2 linked regions of the Canis lupus familiaris genome follow. The protein of the gene in region 2 interacts with the protein of the main gene of each other region in a pairwise test. Links are inferred from orthologs where the notes say so. Each region holds a gene or a part of one and is shown on either strand. Other genes may lie near its edges.

Region 1 (3,808 bases), about 47 Mb from region 2:
AATTCTTGCATTTCTTAATATCTGATGAATAGTTATAGCAAAGATGACGGGTCTTGCAATCTTTAATGTGCTCATCATGGAAAGTCTCTGACATGACTATGTGTGTCTATACTGGCCACAGATGAATATTTTGTATTACAAAAAGGGGATAAGAAACAATGGATTTGAGAAAGCAAGACTTCTCAAAATGTTTTCTTTTGTTAATGACAAAAGCCAAGTCAAAAGTTTTCTACATTTTCTATCAATATAAATGAATTTCTAATGGGTATTCTTCCAATATACCAAACCTGGTTGTTTAAATTTTTTTTAATTTCAAAATAAGTACAACATGCATAGATTATTCCACATCACATGCTTTATTTGGACTTGAACACTTATAATTTCATTCTAAACACGTGGTTGACATACATTTTGATGTATGTAGTTAGGCTATACAGAATGTACAAACCAAAGCTGTATCAATAATACATAGGTTTTTCAAAAATTAGGTTTCAATAAAGAATACAGAGAAAGGAAAATAACCACACATCCAACAACTCAGAACTTCTAAAAATAAAACTACAGAGATGTAAAGTATAAACAAGTCAAAGAACACACAAATTATCATCCTTGGAAAGAAAAAAAAAATTACAGGCCAGCATCTGCCATTCGTTGAAGAACTAAAGTTACTAAAGAAAACACAAATTTATTACAAAGCTGACTATGAGTGTACTAATATGTAAAATAATATGAAGCAGAATTCTACATTTACAAGTTTTTCCACAATATAATGTCATCTTGCTTATCAGTAATCTCTAATCTTATCTAATATGAAGTTAACTACTGATTCGAATAACTAGTAGCCTCATTTCTGGCATACAATATGAAATGACATAGAATTTTATTAAATTCAAAGTACTATAAATAGTCAATTTTAAACTATCTGATAAAGGTGTATGCAAAGGCCTTCTTAAAAAAACAAGGCTATCTGAAGGTAATAAAACTAGTTTACCAAGATTCAAATAACAAAAACGGTTATATAAATGCATACATTATACTTCCTAAGTAAAAACCATCAAATCAAAGATCACAAAAATATTACCACAAAGTCAAGTCATATTTGTTTACCACTCATCTTTGTCCCTGCATCTTCATTATAGCTGTCTAATTCAGCAAGATCACTTTTTGATTCAGTATGGCTTTCCTGCATTGTCACTGGGTTTCCAGCATCACTGTTCGAAGAAGTAGCTGTGGCAGCTGGTTCAGCAGGGCTTTCTTCTCCCTCTACTTTAGCTAGCCTGTAACTAGTCAGCATCTCCTCCAGAAGTTGTCGGTAGTTTCCCCTATGATTAATTCTCATTTGCCTGAGAGCTTCCACCAATTTTCCCTGTGATCCACTTTCCTCTGCTTCCTCGGAGGCCTTTTTTTGAGATTCAAGACCCCAGTGTCAGTAGACAAACTAGGATATCACATGTATTTCATAACATAGCACAGCAAAACACTCATTTCTCTATCACGAGTAATATAGTCTAAGCATGAGAACATTTCATTAAATAAGTATCAAGTCTTACTTGTGTCAATAAAAGTTTCCACTTGAAATATCAAGTTAATTTTAGCAAATTACCATTAACTAGTTTACATCTTATTTCACACTGGCATTTGAAGCTTCCTCTGAAATTTACTCCACTATTAGAATTCAACAGCAACACAAGCATTTCCTAAAACTGACTTGCTTAACAGAAAAAACAAAAAACAAAAAACAGTAATTGTCTAGAATGATTTAGCACAAAAGGAAATTAGTGTTTAAAGCAATAGGAAAGGACAGAAAAGCAGGCCATTAGAACATTAGTTTCTTCATCCCTGCCACTAAATGATAGGTAAGGAAAAGAGATACAAAATGTAGAATTATATAAATTTAAACTGGATTTTTGGGAAATTTTAATGCTTTTGTGGGTAAAAATTTTATTTACTTTTTGTTCTTACATATCTTAATAAAAACATTTTTAGATCAAATTATTTAAAACATGATAATAAGACATGAACAGGAAACTACCTAATCTTTTTATATTTTGTTAAATTTTGGAAAACTTAGAGGTTTCTACAACAGCAGCTACTTAATCTTGTTAGCAGAACAAGCTCTAACATCGAAGCTGATCACAGTTAAGCTGACAGTCTAAAAGCAAGACAACCTTACATTGTGTGCCTCCTGATGTGATTCATTAGGGAGTGCAGAACCATGTCCTATGTTCTTGCCAAAAATGTTTAATTTAAATCTAATAAAGCAAATTCCCAATTTATAGGAAAATAGGGAGCAGAGGATGGTATTAAAGGACACAAAACAAATCCTACGATCCAGGATGTAGGACATCATATGCAAAGCTGGCTCAGACTCTTCTTTTTCAATGGCAAGGGGAAGAAAAAATGACCTGATTACAAACTTCATTAATATGCTAGATAACAGGCTGACCAGACCATCGTTCAAAATAACTACTATCACAGTCATTCTAGAGACAACTGGGAAAATCTGTACTTGGTACTAGATGATACTCTTAATTTTCACTGGCATGATAACAGTATTATATTATGGTTATGTAGAAAGATGTTCTCTTTTTTTTTTTTCCCAAGGAAGCTCTACGCCCAATGTGGGACTTAAACTCATGACCCCAAGATCAGGAGTTGCATGCTTTACCAACCAAGCCAGCCTGACGCCTCGAAATGTCCACATTTTTAAGAGTGGCATGCCAAAATATGCCAAAATGTCTGCAGTTTGCTATCAAAAGGTTCAGTGAAAAAAAAAAAAAAAAAGAGTAGCATATATATTCACACACACATAAAGAGAGATAAAGCAAGTATGGTACGGTATAATGTTAACAATTGTTGAATCTAGGCAGAAGGTGTATAGGTGCTCCTTACAATCGTTTCAACTTTTCTAGATATTTGGAAGTCTTAATCATAAAATGTTGGGAAAATAACTCAAAAAGGTTACTGATATAGATGATCTGACACAAACTCTTAACCATTTCTGTAGACTGCTATCCTACAACTCAGCAACAAAGAAACAAAAGGAACACAAATATAACCACATTTATTCATGAGACAGACAGAGAGAGAAGCAGGCTCCCTATGGGGAGCCTGATGCTGGACTCAATCCCAGACCCCGGGATCACGGATCACGACCTGAGCCAAAGGCAGACGCTCAACCACTGAGTCACCCAGGCGCCCCTGCCTTATTTTCTTTGAGTTCTCCAATTTTCTACCTAATGTAGATTAACTGTAACTTTTAATTTTTAAATTAAAAAAAAGTTTAATTTATTTGAGTACTCTCTACACCCAACGTGAGGCTCAAACTCTCGACCCTGAGATCAAGAGTCTATGCTATTTGGACTGAGCCAGCCAAGTGTCCCAAATAACTTTTTTTTTTTTTAATTTGCAAAATTTATCATGTGGAGAGAACAATAAAATGTGCTCTTCTGTTAAGATTTTTCTGACTTTTTCTCCCTTACCTTTCCTTCTGTGCTAAATAAATAAACCCACATCCCCAAATCAAGTTTCTCATTTGACTCTATTCAGGAAAGGTTAATAAGATGGAGCAATGAGGTAAAAGCTTGCTCATCATAAACCTTACTGGTCTTTAATCAGGTTTTCCACAAGGAAAATTTCTACTTTACGGTATATCACAAAGAACTTTTAATAGATGGCATAAACACTCTTCCACCTCACTTCCTGCCCTCTCCAACTCAAACCAACAACTCCCCTTTTTATCAAAAAAACAAAAACAAAAACCTTCAATGACAATGAAATAAATTCTGAAGTGTTTATCAATCCTGGT
Region 2 (4,439 bases):
GATTCATTAAAAAGCTTTGCAACATGGCAGTCTTGGGGGTTCACTTGCCCTTCTAAGTATGGAGGACACAGGGGCTAAGGGAAAGGCGGGACCCCGAAGCCCCACCCCTCTCCCCTCCGCTCAGAGGCCGGGGGAGGGTGGGGGGTAGACACCACCTGTTCTCACCACCCTTCCCTGAGGCGCTGGCAGTTTAGTAGGAGGCGGGAGTGGGAACGGAGGAGGAGAGATTAGTGAGGCTCCAACCCCTCCTCCTAGATACACCCCTAGTCTGACCACTGGACTTTGGAGGGCTCCCATCCCCTTTCACTCCCCACAATGGGAAGGAAGGGGGTGGGCTAGACCCAGCAGAGGAGTAAACTGGCTGGGAGCTCCCAGAGGAGCCTGGGAACTCTAGGGTCCTGGGGCTGAAAGTAAAGAAACTAGGAAGGTTAATCATTTAGGGAACAGCCCCACCCTAAACCCTTTCCTGGTAGGACACCCCCTCTTGCAAGTCAAGGCGCCAACCGCTCTCCCCAGATAAGGGAGGAGCCAAGATTTCTGCATGGAGAAGTGGGATATGTATGTGATGTGTGTGTGTGTGCACATGCACGAGGGACACACACGCACACACCCACAGACAAGCATGCACACCGCTCCCCGCTGGCCCAGAAATCTATACTGGTTCTGTCCTCGGGGTTCCTTATGAGGAAGTATTTCAGGTGGCCCCATCTATCCCACCTGCCTTAGGTGTCTGTGCAGACTCTGTGTCTGTGCCTGGAAGGCTAAAGGGTTAGAGGTCCCAGTTCTCTGCCATCCTGAGGGTAAAGTCCATATTACACAAACAGGGAGCAAAGGGCCTGCTCAGGAAGAGAGCGTGAAAACCACCTCTAAGGAGGAACAGGCAGCATGGGGAGGAGGGAAGGGGGAAGAGAGTAAGGAAAAGCCCCACTGTACCCGGGGACCAGGGGCCTAGGGAGGGGCCTGGCACTCCTTTGGTAGAGAGCACTGGGGTGGGTCGACCAGGAATCTTCGTTGCCTCCTCAACCAGAGGCCTCCTCTCCAATAGCCCCCACCCCCATCACAGCCAGGACAAAGGGACTATAGAAGGACTGAGACAGGGCCGGATGCCCAGAGGCTGCAGGATCCAGATAAAGGGTAAAGAAACCCAACCATGCCTGCCTCCTGTCGCCCCAAGGGAAGGTGGCCAGGATCTGGGACTCCTGGGTTCCTGGTTGAAGATTCCAAGGGTCTGGATGGGACAGTGACCCAGTCATTCTATTTGGTCCCTCCCACTCCAGTCCCCAGACCCCCCCCTCCACTCCACCCCCCCACCAGCTGGGAGTTTCAAAGTCAAGATCCCAAGTCTAAATTTAGGCCCAGCAACTGTGGGGGAAGCACAGGTGTTTCTCCCACTCCCACTCTGGGGAAGAGGCCCTGGCCCTCCCAAATCCCAAGCTGAGGTCTGGGGGAGGGGAAGAGATCAACAGGATTCCTCCAATTCGAGCAACACCAGAACCCTCAGGTGTCCACGGTCCCAGAGACACCCCAAGGGGGTGGGCTCCGATGGTATGGGAGTGGGAGGAGGAAGAGAGGCGCAGTTTGACTGTTGTCTAGACTCCAGGAGACAGAGTCAGACAATAAGCAGAATGTAGGTGGGGGGGGAGCTGGGTCCGGGAAGGACTCCCAGACTGGAAGCTCAGGAGGTGGGAGAGGCGCCCTGTTGGTCTCGGGTTGGGGGAGAAAAGACAGACAAGTCCAGGCTGCAGGCCCCTAACCCTACAGCTCCTGGCCCAGACCCTGTGCGTAGTAGATGTTCAATAAATATTAGTTGAATTGATCTGGGTCTTGACAAAAACAAGAGGTTGGGGGATCCCTGGGTGGCGCAGCGGTTTGGCGCCTGCCTTTGGCCCAGGGCGAGATCCTGGAGACCCGGGATCGAATCCCACATCGGGCTCCCGGTGCATGGAGCCTGCTTCTCCCTCTGCCTGTGTCTCTGCCTCTCTCTCTCTCTCTCTCTCTCTCTCATAAATAAATTAATTAATTAAAAAAAAAAAAAAAACAAGAGGTTGGTCAAGCCGGGGACCAGCCAGCTTGGTTATCCTGAGGAAATGAGGGAGGTCGGCCTCTGCGTGGCCTCTCACCCCGATGTCACCTGTACTTGGCCCTTAGGTGCGCCTCCGCCCGTCCCGGGGCAGGTCCACGGAAGAGGAGGTGCGGCTCTTGTTTTTCCAAGAGTAGAAAACAACAACCCCCTCCGACCCCTCCCTAGCTCCGCCCTGTCGGCAAAACAACGAAACTGGAGGCGCCGAAACCGAGGGAGGGGGTGGGCTCACAGGCCGGGACCCCCACTCTCCGGGACCTCACCCCCCTCACTGCCGCCGCACGTTTGCGGAGCCGAGGCCCCACGGCCGTCCCCACAGGGCTCCCCAGGGGAGCGGGGTGTCCCGGGGGGCCCCCACCCCGACGCAGATCAGAAGTGGGGGGTCGGGAGCGCCGAGCCCGCCCGCAGCGCCCAGGGGAGCGGGGTGTCCCGGGGGGCCCCACCCCGACGCAGATCAGAAGTGGGGGGTCGGGAGCCCCGAGCCCGCCGCAGCGCCCCGCCGGGGTGGTCCCAGCGCCCCCCGCCCCCGCCCGGCCCCCCCCCCCCCCCCGGCGCCCGCGCCGCTTACCTGCCTGGGAGTTGCCCACGTCGGAGGCGCGGACCAAGCTGAGCAGGAAGCCCAGCACCTGCAGCGGCGCCGTCGCCCTCATGACGCCCGCGGAGGCGGCGGCGGCCCCGCGGGATCCGGCCCGGGGCCCCGACTAGGACATCCGAGCGGGGCCACCTGAGCCGCCAGCGACCGGCAGCGGCGGCGGGGAGGCTGCGGAGCGCAATCGGAGCCGGGCCGGGGCGGGGGCCCGCCGGGCAGGGGAGGGGGGCGGCGCTGCAGCCGGGGCTCGTCCCCGGGCCACGCGAGCCGAGCCGGGGTCGCGCCCGGACCTTCCCGGGGGCCGGGCCGAGGGGCGGCCGGGACTGCAGACGCCCTAGCGCCTCCGACGGGGAAAGGTGCTGGGGGCGGGGAGGGCGCCTCGAAGCCCGGCCCCTGAAAGCTGGCCGCGCCCATTAACCAGATCACTCAACTTCCCCAGCCGGTTGGGTCACTCGGGGCGGGGGGGCTCCCTGAATGTGAATGTTTTTCTCCGTGAGTGTTTGTGAGGAAGGCGCGGGCCGCACGCTCAGGCGCCTCGGTTTCCCCGGGACCCTTCCGGCCCCGTAATCCGTCCACGCTGCCCTGGAAGCCGAGCCCCGAGGCCGCGTGAAATCGCGCTGTCTCCGGCCGCTTCCTCCCGCAGACCCGGCGCCGGCCCGGCCTCTCCGGGGGATTTGGGGGGCGGGGGCGGGGCGGCCTCCAGCCTGGGAACAGACCCGAAGCCCGCCTTTTCCCTTCCAGCCCGGGAGGGGCTCCCGCACCTGTCGCGCCCCCTCTGCTGCCCCCCGCGGCCGCCTGGGAGAACAGCTGCCTCCCATCGCGGCCGGGAGTCCCCGCCGTCGGGGCGGCCGCGGCCCCCGCCGCCTTAATGCGCACCCGCACCCGCATCCGCACCCGCGCGGGCGCCTTGCACGCCCGAGCTCGCGCTGCAAAGGGGGGCGCAAGGCGGGCGCCCGAGGCCGCGGCCACGAGGGGCTCGGACCCCCGCCACCTCCGGCGGCCGCTCCCGGGTCCTGGCCCGGGGCTGGGTGGGCACCGGCGCGCGGCCCCCGAGCCCGGCGGGTCCCTCAGCAGCTCCCACGCGCGCCCCCTGGCGCCGGGGGGGCGCATTTCACAGCCCGAGGCCGGCGTTCCCGCCCCCGCCCGGGGGCTCCCGGGCGCCCAGAGGCTCAAGCCCAACCCCCAGCGCCTCGGCCAGGAAAGCTTCCTCCGGTCACTAAGTCTCCCGCCTAAGGCTCTAAGCTTGCTCGGGATCGCTGTCGCCCGGGCCCCCGCTCTCTGCGGGGCTCACCCCGGCCCCGGCGCTGGCCTGTCCTCGTCCTTGCAGGACGGTCCCGACCCCGCAGCAGCGACACGGTAACGAATCCAAACAGCGCCTCATCTGCCACCCAGGCCGAGGCTTCACGGGGCCCAAGCACGTGCCGTGGGCGGCAGCACCGCACGTGGGGCCTGGCGGCGCGGGGGTCCACCGAGACGCAGGGCCAGGCGTATCCGCAGGAGCGCGGGGCTGCGCCGGTTCCCGCCACAGAGACTGCAGCTCCGCGGGCTCAGCGTGCGGGCGGCCTCTGCTCCGAGCCTAGAGCCCTTCCAGGGGCCGCCGGGACGAGGCTCCGACCCAGCCCGGGCTCCAGGTCCTCCCGGAGCCGAGGTCTCTCCGCGGAGGAGCTGCGCCCCCGGCGGGAGCGTCACGACAGGCAGGCGGGGCTCTGGCTCGCAGCGGCCCGAGATCAGGGGCGCCCGGGGGCTCAGCCCCTTAGCCGCGCCTCGTGC

Evidence for each region.
Region 1: the proteins of ERBB3 (region 2) and PPM1B interact in a two-hybrid assay, tested with the Homo sapiens proteins (2 studies listed by BioGRID and IntAct, with this or other methods). The link is inferred for Canis lupus familiaris from reciprocal best matches to the Homo sapiens genes ERBB3 and PPM1B.

The regions. Positions count from the first base shown.
Region 1 is NC_049231.1:47,722,079-47,725,886, reverse strand, and holds the end of PPM1B (protein phosphatase 1B), read right to left. Parts: exon of another isoform or gene 1,406-3,808; intron 1,400-1,405; coding exon 1,094-1,399; 3' UTR 334-1,093; downstream 1-333.
Region 2 is NC_049231.1:756,736-761,174, reverse strand, and holds the start of ERBB3 (receptor tyrosine-protein kinase erbB-3), read right to left. Parts: upstream 2,824-4,439; 5' UTR 2,731-2,823; coding exon 2,649-2,730; intron 1-2,648. UniProt on the Homo sapiens protein: Tyrosine-protein kinase that plays an essential role as cell surface receptor for neuregulins.